3 linked regions of the Astyanax mexicanus genome follow. The protein of the gene in region 1 purifies or fractionates together with the protein of each later gene. This does not show direct contact. Links are inferred from orthologs where the notes say so. Each region holds a gene or a part of one and is shown in the gene's direction. Other genes may lie near its edges.

Region 1 (3,752 bases):
GGTTATGGTAAAAGGGCTGGTTATGGGCGGGACCAATAACAGACCGTCAGCTCCACTCCGCCCCGCTCTGCAGTCTGTGACAGCGAGGCAGCCCTCAGGGGCGGGTTTATTTAAATGAGTAGGAGCTCTCCACAGCCTTTCTCCCTACTCTGGTCTCTACTGCGCAGACTCTGGTCTCTGAATCGCCAAAATGGCGGAAGATTTTGGCTTCATTTTCATTGAATGAATGGGAACGGCGACACGGCGTCCATCTTTATATACAGTCTATGAGCTAGCCAGTTAGCTTACCTATTCAGGAGAAAAGTAGTAGCTCTGGGTCGGTCTTGTGTCTTTTTGAGCTCTAAGTCTCCACCTTTTAAACTCACTGTCAATATTCACTTTTGTTATATTCCTTCTTTGTTTTTTAAGCTGTGTAGCAGCTGAGGTTAACTGAGCCCACTCTGCTAGCTAGCTCCTTTGCTGCAGCACCGATCGCTGTAGTGTAGTATGGGTCCTAGTGGAGTTAGTGTTGGGGAACGAGCAGCAGGAGGAGACAGAGGACAAAACTAACACAAAACTCAGGATGGAGTAAACACTAAAAATAGGAACGTACGGGCCAAAGCCCTGCTGACAAGAGCTGCCAGTGCTTTAACTCAACATGTTTCCTTAATATCTGATTATACATCCTGATCATTTTATCATTTACTACTGAAAATGAGTTACATATTGGTCCTTTAAACTGATGGACCACACTGATAAACTTGAGCAAACACTGAGATAAATTTAGATACATTTATTTAAAACTGAGGGAACATGCTGATAAACTGGAGGAAAAATGTTTACATTGAGATAAATGTATTATAACTGAGGGAATACTGATAAATAGAGGGAACATATTGATAAATAGAGGAAACAGACTAAAGAACCGAGTGAAAGAAATGTTACTTTGAGGCATTGATGTATTAAACTGAGTGAACAGGCCGATAAACTGGTCGGACGGTTAAAATATAATCTGTATATAATATTTTCCCGCGTTTCTACACTCCAGGCTCTGTCTGTGGGGAGCAGGGCTCGGCGCTGCTCGGCGGGTGTCGGTACTGCAGGCTGCTGGAAGCTGCTGCAGAGGGAAAACGGTAATTTGGCGCTACATAGATCATCCTCCCCGGAGCACCGCTGTACAGCATCCGCAGCGCGAGCGCCTTAACCGCGCTGAGAAGCGCCGCCGCCGCGGGGAACACATGCGGTGTTTTTACTATAAGAGCGGGGTCTGTTTTACTCTTCGCTCTAGAGGCTGAAACCCGTTCCCTCTCTGAGTCTCAGAAATAATAATAATGATGAGGTAAGTGCTTCCGGTCGCCATCTTGTCGCTTAGCGGTGTGTGTGTGTGTGTGTTGGTGGTTTGTTTGAGATATTAATCCGCGGACCGCTTTCCTTTTTTATTTTTTAGTTCTTAACTCGTTTTGTATCCCGTGTTTCTGAGATGTCTAAACGGCATCGCTTGGACCTGGGCGATGATTACTCGTCCAGTAAGAAGAGGTCTTCAGACGGGTGGGTTTAAACGGCGTGTGGATGAAAAACTGCTTCTGCTGCTGCTTCATGTTTGAGCGGCCGCCGCTCGGCCTCTTTGTGTCGGCAGGACAGGCGGGTTATAGACGCAGTGGCAAGACAGGGTGTTATTAGGACGTTAGAGTGTATTAGCCCCTTTATTTGAGCTCTTTCTGTCTGTGTAAACCCGGTGTTAGATGTGAGGTAAAGCTGCAAGGTAAACCAAGAGAGCAGCCGGCTGGTTTCGTGTCGCATCCGCAACGCTAGGATAACGTTAGCACGTGGGCAATGCTAATAGCTTAGTGAACCTATCTGTTCAGTTCATTTAAACCAGTTTAGAGAGTATTTTACATAACATTCATACGAGAAGTCTGATTTTCTCGTTTGTACATGTTTATAGTGAATGTACTAACTCATGCTTCGGTTTATATTCATGTTAAATAGCTATATAGACGCATAACCAGCTAGCCGGTGTTCTGTCGAGTTATGCTACCTTGTCAAACCGTGCTACCCTAGTGTAAGTTAACTTTAAAAATGCAAAAGAAGCACCATATTAGAAGATGGTCCCAGTGAAAGTCTATGTAGAATTTTTAAGAGTATAAATCACTGTATTATTGAAAGTTATGGCAGTGAGAGGTCATTACAAACTATTAATCAACTTTTTTTATGTATTTATCATTATTCATTTTCACGGTGACAGTGAATCCCGGTTGTATAATGCACAAAAAGTTTTTTTTTTTTTTAAATGCATATTTTATATATAAAAAAATGAATAACTGTAGATCAGCGCATGCGTAGTGCCTTTAGGAAGCAGGTATCGATGGGTAGCCTTACTCGACGGAACACCGGTCTTCTCACTAGCTAAGCTAAGCTAGCATGGACGTTGCTTACTCGTCCATTTTCCATGCGGCCTGTGTAGCTAAGCTAACTTAGCTAGCTGGATAATCCCCTGTCCCAGTTTTTTTGAATAGCGTTAACATCACAGCTAGCTGTGTGCAACCCTGCTGTGCGGTTTACTGATTAACCTGCACGCATGATTAGTTAGCCAGTTAGGCAGTTCGTTCGACCTGCGTGTCTCCAGGCACACATGCCTGCCCAACACAAAGCTGGAAGCGTTAGCACCAGAAGCTAAGCTAACGTTAGCATCACATAGCTTACCAATTCATGTTTGCCGCCCGCTCTGTCTAAAATTGAGCTAAAGCTAGGTTAGCTAACCTGACTAACTACGTTTCGCACGCAGTTGATTGAATTATCTCGTTATATTGTTTAACATGTTTTGTTTTAGCAGTAGTGAAGTGCTGCTGCTGCAAAGCTGAAGGGGTTAGACAACAAATGACAGGCTTAATTGATCTAAAACGAAGCGCTAAGGTTAGCTTTCTAGTTAGCCATGTGTGGAGTGTAGTGGGCGTGTTGCTTGATGTCAGGTAACTTTGTTGACTGTTTGTTTTACCTTTTAAGAAATAAGACATTTAAGTAGCTATATTTATTATTTTATACACAGTTTAAATACACAACAAGACAGACATTAGATGCACACATGCCCTTAGAAAAAGCAATGCTAAGCAGTATTACCAATAAATAAATGAATAAGGACGTTGAAGGGGTATATTTACTTAACCTTTTACGTAAATAACCCTTGTTCCGTATAAATGCTACAGGTGTAGATCATACAAAAAACCCTTTTTCTACAGCAAAATAACTTATTTACATTTCTGAAGGCTTTAAAATCTCCTACAGGACACTTGTAGAAGCTGCCTGTTTTCTCTACATGAGTAAACATAACAATTTCAGGGCTTTTTTTTGTTTCAAAGAAACAAAGGCCTCTTTTCCACTAGTCAATAAGTGAGGACACTTTAAAATGATGCACTAATGTGGGATATCTGGGCCAATGCCGATATAGTTACATATTTCTGACTTGCCGAGAGACTTTAAAAATAAATGTTAAAATCGACAGTACGCAAACAATAAAATGAAAGGTGTCACTTTTTAATATTTTGGTTTACATCTATTTAGCTTACTGGTCCTTAGACTGGTCACAGCTTAAAACCTTCTTTTAACATTAACAATTGACAGAATAAATAAAACAGTAGATTATATAAAATAAAAATATAATGTTGAAATAAATTATTTTAAAGTTGTTGCACAGTCAGTGCTTAGTCTTTTTCTGGTATTCAATATATAGCCTACATCAGCAAGTATCAGTTGGAAATATACAGACACCAAACCAA
Region 2 (3,752 bases), on another chromosome or scaffold:
TAGGTTTTTAAGCTGTGCAGTGTTTATGAAGGACCTGTGTCCTGAAGCAGGATAATGTACATTTGATGAATGAATACATCTGATGAAGGAATCAAATACATTACATTCTTAAGTGTTGCCTGATTTTTTTGGTTATTTATTTGCAGCTTTTATCTCTGTAAAGGTACCTCATTAGCTCATTAGATTTAGCTAATTTGTATTTTTATATTTAGCATCTTTCATTAGATCCATAGCGTATCCTTTCATTATGTAACGTTTTCCAGGCTCTGAAAGGAACAGGAATTTACTGAAAAAATACTACACTACTTTGTCAGTGGAAAAAGAATGTGAACCTTTTAAGTTTTGTAGATAATTTCATGGTAAAATTTGAGTCTGGGGTTTTCAATAATAGGGATGACAATCAGGAGTGAGTGAGCATCCTCTTTTATTTATAGAACAAGTCTGACCTTCACAATAAATGTTTATGGAAGGTAAGTGTATCAAGCATTAATAAACAAGATTTCTGAGGGGGTTGCAAAACTATGAAGAAGTTTCATAGTATCTAAGAAGTTTGTACAGACAAAGATCTTTGAGAACACAAAGGCTTACCAAAGGTAACTTCTAAGCAACTAAGGGCCTTTTACACATTGGCTCACATTGGCTCTCTTACAATGTTAATGTTAATGGGTCCACCATCAGGAGAACATTAAACAACAATGGTGTGAATAGCTAGGTTGCAAAGAGTAAGTGTCAAGAGAATGTGGGTCATGCAGCAAGACAAGGAGCGACCCCAGTTGCTGATCTAAGCGACCCCCAAGAAATAAACTTAATAGGTAAAGTAATTATTTTGATCTAGTAGAAATATTGTGGCAGGACCTGAAGCAAGCAAACGTTGAGTTGCGGTTATTGGTGAACAAGAGGGTCACGCCAGATACACGAAGCAGTATTAAATTCTAATAAAAGTGTCTAAAAGTTTTTTTTTGTTTGTTTTGTTTTTACATGTATGGTACAATCTGTTAAATACAGATTTGGGAAAAAAGAGACCACTTAATTACCACCAAATTAAAAGCCTCTGGAATATAATAAAGAGGAAGATGGATGATCACAAGCCATCATACCAAGCTGAACTGCTTGAATTTATGCACCAGGAATGGCATAAAGTTATTCATAAACAGTGTGTAAGACTGGTGGAGGAGAACATGACAAGACGCATGAAAACTGTGATTTAAAAAACAGGGTTATTCCACCAAATATTGATTTCTGAATTCTTTAAACTTTATGAATATGAACTTGATTTCTTTGCAGTATTTGAGGTCTGAAAGCTCTGAATCTTTTTGTTATTTTAGACATTTCTCATTTTCTGCATATAGATATCATATTTTAAATGACAATATTTTAATTTGGATTTTGAGAGAAATGTTGTCCGTAGTTTATAGAATAAAACCACTTTGTTCATTTTAAACAAAAATACCTGTAATAGCTAAATCAGAGAAACTGATTCAGAAACTGAAGTGGTCTCTTAATTTTTTCCAGGTGCGCAGCGCCACCCTCAGGCCGACAGTGAGCAGCACAGGCCGGTGTCACTTCAGCCGGGCACACTGAGAGGAGCGGAGCTCTATTTTCTGTAATTTAAGCTGAACTACACAGTATTTATTTAGCTTTATCACCGAATATAAAAATAACAGCACAGTCAGGCGTTTTACACTTTATTAAAGTGTGAACCTGGTCATGGCGTCGAGCGGTAAGTCCCTGTCTGTCTGTGTTTCTGTTCAGTTTCGGGTTTTCCAGCCTTAAGCTGCGTTTCTCATTGATAACGGAGGTAGCGTTAGCTAAGCTAACTAACCTAGCCAGAAAATCTGCCTGCAGTCCCTCAGGTGTACTGACAATACACATGGCCTTTTGAGTCACTGCTCGTTAGTTTTAAGCGCATGAAAACAGCGTTTCTGTTATTAACAGGCTTTTATTCTCTAACACCCCCTACAAGAAGATGTCGGGCTCCGCCATTTTGTTATTCAAAGTGATATACTGACCTACTTTCAGACCTGGGGCTCAAAACCTTCGATATTTTAGTGTTATTACCTTTATAGATATTTCTGCGAGTGTTTGTGCAGATATTTATCAGTGTTTGTCTGTTAATTAAAGCATTTACTTATCCCTGCAGATTATCCCCAGACTGCCGGCCATGGAGGGTGAGTGTGTCCCTGTGTTTCTCGGGGTTTTTCAGTTGCTGGTGTTAAAGCTCCTCTATAATAAACAGCAGCAGCAGCTCAGGAGACCAAGACCCCCTTAAACATCACCTTAAAACCACCAGCAACACATTCTACATCAGGGCTGTCCAAACTGCGGCCCGCGGGCAATTTGCGGCCCTTTTCCTTTTTTGGAGCGACCCGCGAGGTATTTTAGTAATAGAATGAAAGCTGGCCCGCTGTTAAACAGGTTTTTATAATGTGAGATTCAACGTTTGAACGCTAGGTGTCAGAAACGGGCCAAAGAGTTTAAAAGCGGAGAGGGTGCGTATTTCTAGCGCAGAAAAACGGGGTAAAAGAGTCTAAAAGCGGAGAGGGTGCACATTCCTCGCGCAGAAAAACGGGCCAAAGAGTCTAAAAGCGGAGAGGGTGCGTATTTCTAGCGCAGAAAAACGGGGTAAAAGAGTCTAAAAGCGGAGAGGGTCGCATTCCTAGCGCAGAAAAACGGGCCAAAGAGTCTTAAAGCGGAGAGGGTGCGCATTTCTAGCGTAGAAAAACGGGGCCAAAGAGTCTAAAAGCGGAGAGGGTGCGCATTTCTAGCGCAGAAAAACAGGGTAAAAGGGTCTAAAAGCGGAGAGGGTTCGCATTTCTAGCGTAGAAAAACGGGGCCAAAGAGTCTAAAAGTTGCCGTAATTAAGGAGTTTAATATCAAGAGACATCATGAAATTAAACATCAATTTGAAAAATCTTAGTTTACACAACACTGTCAAAGATAAAGATAGTAAGGCAAGTAAAATGGTGTGTAAATGAAATAATCAGGAAAAATTATTTTTTAAAGTGGTATATTTCATTATTTGTTTAATTACGGACTGTGGCCCGAGAAAAACGGGCCAAAGAGTCTAAAAGCGGAGAGGGTCGCATTCCTAGCGCAGAAAAACGGGGTAAAAGAGTCTAAAAGCGGAGAGGGTGCGCATTCCTCGCGCAGAAAAACGGGCCAAAGAGTCTAAAAGCGGAGAGGGTCGCATTCCTCGCGCAGAAAAACGGGCCAAAGAGTCTAAAAGCGGAGAGGGTCGCATTCCTCGCGCAGAAAAACGGGGCAAAGAGTCTAAAAGCGGAGAGGGTGCGCATTTCGAGCGTAGAAAAACGGGGCCAAAGAGTCTAAAAGCGGAGAGGGTTCGCATTTCTAACGTAGAAAAACGGGGCAAAAGAGTCTAAAAGCGGAGAGGGTGCGCATTTCTAGCGTAGAAAAACGGGGCCAAAGAGTCTAAAAGCGGAGAGGGTTCGCATTTCTAACGTAGAAAAACGGGGCAAAAGAGTCTAAAAGCGGAGAGGGTGCGCATTTCTAGCGTAGAAAAACGGGGCCAAAGAGTCTAAAAGCGGAGAGGGTTCGCATTTCTAACAGAAAAACGGGGTAAAAGAGTCTAAAAGCGGAGAGGGTCGCATTCCTAGCGCAGAAAAACGGGCCAAAGAGTCTTAAAGCGGAGAGGGTGCGCATTTCTAGCGTAGAAAAACGGGGCCAAAGAGTCTAAAAGCGGAGAGGGTGCGCATTTCTAGCGTAGAAAAACGGGGCCAAAGAGTCTAAAAGTT
Region 3 (3,752 bases), on another chromosome or scaffold:
AGTCAATTTTATTATGAGTTACAGCATAAGTATAATATAAATCCATTATTTAAACCATGCATATACTAGCACTTATTTTGGTGTGTTAAGTGTTCACACATTCAAAAGTCTGCCATGCTCACAGCCAGCCTAAAAAAGTAAAAAAAAAAAATCTATTTATTCTATTATTCTATAAGGTATAAGTAAAACTGTGTAATTTAACAAAATGAACAGCATCAAATTAGATGTTGGGACAGTATGGAAAATGCCATGTTCTCTCATTTACTTTTTATTTTAGCATGACAATATGACAAGCAGTATGAACCCAATATATTTAATGTTTTATCTGGTCACCTTTATTTCATTTCTATATACATCCATTCCTGCATTTCATGCCTAGGAAGAAGAAACCTTATTTAATAATGTGATTTAAAACAGGTGATGTGAACAGATCATATGTGTAAAAATAATTGAAATGTTTGAAAATTATTTTTAATAAAGCCTAAGCTGAAGGCTAATTCACAAATGCCCCATATAATTATACTGTGCTACACAGAAAACTTATGTTATTAGGCACATTTATTTAATCTTTCAAAAAATATGAGTAATTTCCATATTTTACAGGTAAAAAATGAAAGGGCTCAATGCACTCTGCATGGTCAGTAGTAACACTTATTTTTCTCACAGTACCACAGCTTGTTAACACATTTGCAGTGTTTAGATGATTTGACCCATGTTTGCACAGTAAACCACAGTAACAAACAACAAGTACAGGAATGAAACATGTAGTGAGCAATGTTAGCAATGGTATGAAGCAGGGTGTAATTAGTATACAAAGATAAACAGGACAAGCTATGGACTAAGAAAAAAGACTCAGCTTTTTGGTGAGAAATTGCTACTAGTACTCTCAGTGTTCAGTGATCTGTGGGAACTGCTGAAGGAGAGAGGTTTTAAAAAAGGGTTGTGTCAATGGGGAGAAGAAACTGAATTAATTTCCAAATTTGGACACACCTTCTCATTTAAAGTTTTTCTTTACTTCTTTATTTAATTTATTTTCTACATTGTAGAGTAACATTAAATCTATCAAACGAATTAAGGGACACATATGGAATTGCGTAGTAAACAAAAAAAAGTATAAAACATATTCTGGTTTGTTTCACATGTTTTGTTTACAACAAAATCCTGTATAGCGTATGTCTTAAATATTACATTTACAATGTAAAGAATAATTTAAAAACAAAAATATATATTTAAAGAGAAAAGGTGTGTCCAAGCCTTTGACTGATACTTTATATGTGGCTAATTGTTTTATTAATTAATTTATTATTTTTTAAGGATTTTTAAAGCATTTTTTGTCTTTTAAATAAATCTGAAATATGAATTTTGTAAGGCTTGTAGCGGGCTGGACTTTTCAGCAGGCAAATGGCAGGGCGACTATGACACAGGGCTAACAGCAGGAAGGACCCCCGTCGTTCGAGCGGCGTTTGAACACAAAACGCCGAACGAACAAAAAGTTTCTCATCGGGTGAAAATCTGCACCATCCTGCCTGCTGAAACGGTAAAACCCTGGCATACACCGCCAGCGCCAGTTAAACGGCGATATTATAGCCATATATGTGTCATGATGCGGTTTAATATCAAGTTATCTCAGAATTCTGCGTTAGCTTCACTTGCTAGCAGAGGCTGAGCGGGTAACCGGGGTTTCAGGCTGTTATTAACAGCGCGGAGTTTAATAATACTGCAGTATAAAGACACGTTAACCTAATATACGTGCAGTTTTTACGTGTTGTGGGTATTTTATGGGTAAAGTATATACATTTAGTTTAATAAACCAACATTCTGACTAGCGGCTAAGCGAGCTAACCCATTCATTTGAGGTGGTTTAGCTAGCTAATGCTAGCAAGCTTGTAGTTTACATAGATAACTAGCTAGCCAGCTGTGCCCCTAGTAACAGTAGGTTAGCTACTTTTAGTTTATTTTTTTTAAACCTGATCAATTAGGCACGTTAGGTAGATTACATCTGGAGAAAAACAAGACTTTATTAGCTTTCAAAATTTCTCTGTTTGCAGCCCAGAACGTGTGCACTGCTTTCTTCTGTTGATCTCACATGAGGCCTCTTTCTGGGTTTCAGGTGCAGCAGTAACTTTCTTCATCCAAGCCTGAGGGGGCCCAGAGACATCCACCATGTTTCTGTACAACCTGACATTACAACGTGCCACTGGCATCACTCATGCCATCCATGGGAACTTTTCAGGTATACGGTCTTCGTTTTTCCATGTTAAATATGTGATTTGTAATGTTTAACTCTAGAGGTGTAGCCCTGCCCCCACAGGCTTGCATTGTGGGCACTAGACCTGATGGGTGTCTCTCTCTTACCTTAATGTGCACCTCACTCTGGAAAAGGGGGAAATCTGGATTCATCAGACCACATGGCCTTTTTCTGTTGCTCCAGAGTCTTTGCCAGTTAACCTCACTGATGAGTGGTTACACAGTTTAATCCTAATCCCTTGAGTTTCCTTCACATTGTGCATGTAGAAATGCTCTTACTTTCACTAATAAACATATCCCTGAGTTCTAGTAAATATTTAATGGGAGGCACTTACCATTTGCTTATTAAAAAAAAGACTGTACTGGTATGTTAAGATGTTGATCTTATTAATTGAGAGAGTTTGAGACCCCCATTTCTGTCTTTTTTTTTTTTTTTGTTTTTATTGATTTTTAGGTTTTTAAAACTTCTTTTAAAGCAAACATTTTTTTTTTAAATGTACCAAGAATTTGAAAAATGGGAAGTTTCTATATAATTACATTTAGCAATGGTAAAAAAAAAAAAAACTAAGGAACTTTTTCAAACTACTAGGGGTACATATTTTATAATTGGAAATAAATGCCCTTTATCAAATAAATAACCTTTAAATCCTTAATTTAATGTAACTGTTCACCTGTAGTTTAGTTTAATAGTTTCTCCAGAAGGGGGTGGAAGTAGCACTGTTAGCTTAAGCAAATCCACATCAAACACTTTGCTTGCAATTAACTGTATGACGTTCTTTGTCTCTAGGTACGAAACTGCAAGAGATTGTGGTTTCCCGGGGAAAGATTCTAGAGCTGCTGCGTCCTGATGCCAACACAGGCAAGGTTCACACATTGCTCACCATGGAGGTGTTTGGCATCGTCCGCTCCCTCATGGCCTTCAGGCTCACTGGTGGCACGAAAGGTTAGTGTGAATGTTGAAACTGAGTTAGTTTGTTTACAGTTCAATATAATTTTGGGTAAACCAGCCGTAAGATCTTGTTAAAGTTGCTTGCGAAACTAAATGTAAAATTACTGATCAGGTAAATTGCTGATGTGTGGTTTATTCAATGTAATAAAAAAAAATGGTTTGTTTATTGGACTGTGTCTCTTAATTTTAAGACTACATCGTGGTGGGAAGTGACTCGGGACGTATTGTTATCCTGGAGTACCATCCTTCAAAGAACATGTTTGAAAAGGTGCACCAGGAGACTTTTGGCAAGAGCGGATGTAGACGCATCGTTCCCGGGCAATTCCTGGCTGTGGACCCTAAAGGCAGAGCTGTAATGATAGGTAAAATTCTGGTTCTTTGCTAAGTGTTTTATATTTAAGGTGGTTGTTTTATCTGTCTTGGGTTTGAAGAAGCCCTGTGGCATTGTTAGTATGTACACTAACAGCTAGTCTAACACTGCACTTTTGATGCACTTTGATATAAGCTCAAACTAAGGGATAAAGGCCACAACACTGTCTTAAACATGCTTTTTAAA

The links.
Region 2: the proteins of dhx15 (region 1) and fus purify together in Homo sapiens (affinity purification with mass spectrometry; 4 studies listed by BioGRID and IntAct, with this or other methods). This does not show direct contact. The link is inferred for Astyanax mexicanus from reciprocal best matches to the Homo sapiens genes DHX15 and FUS.
Region 3: the proteins of dhx15 (region 1) and sf3b3 purify together in Homo sapiens (co-immunoprecipitation; 4 studies listed by BioGRID and IntAct, with this or other methods). This does not show direct contact. The link is inferred for Astyanax mexicanus from reciprocal best matches to the Homo sapiens genes DHX15 and SF3B3.

The regions. Positions count from the first base shown.
Region 1 is NC_064415.1:27,958,143-27,961,894, reverse strand, and holds the start of dhx15 (pre-mRNA-splicing factor ATP-dependent RNA helicase DHX15), read left to right. Parts: upstream 1-1,338; 5' UTR 1,339-1,459; coding exon 1,460-1,527; intron 1,528-3,752.
Region 2 is NC_064426.1:19,753,705-19,757,456, reverse strand, and holds the start of fus (RNA-binding protein FUS), read left to right. Parts: upstream 1-1,543; 5' UTR 1,544-1,707; coding exon 1,708-1,720; intron 1,721-2,140; coding exon 2,141-2,168; intron 2,169-3,752. UniProt on the Homo sapiens protein: DNA/RNA-binding protein that plays a role in various cellular processes such as transcription regulation, RNA splicing, RNA transport, DNA repair and damage response. Binds to ssRNA containing the consensus sequence 5'-AGGUAA-3'.
Region 3 is NC_064416.1:23,363,828-23,367,579, reverse strand, and holds the start of sf3b3 (splicing factor 3B subunit 3), read left to right. Parts: upstream 1-1,413; 5' UTR 1,414-1,537; intron 1,538-2,110; 5' UTR 2,111-2,163; coding exon 2,164-2,233; intron 2,234-3,034; coding exon 3,035-3,190; intron 3,191-3,387; coding exon 3,388-3,558; intron 3,559-3,752. UniProt on the Homo sapiens protein: Component of the 17S U2 SnRNP complex of the spliceosome, a large ribonucleoprotein complex that removes introns from transcribed pre-mRNAs.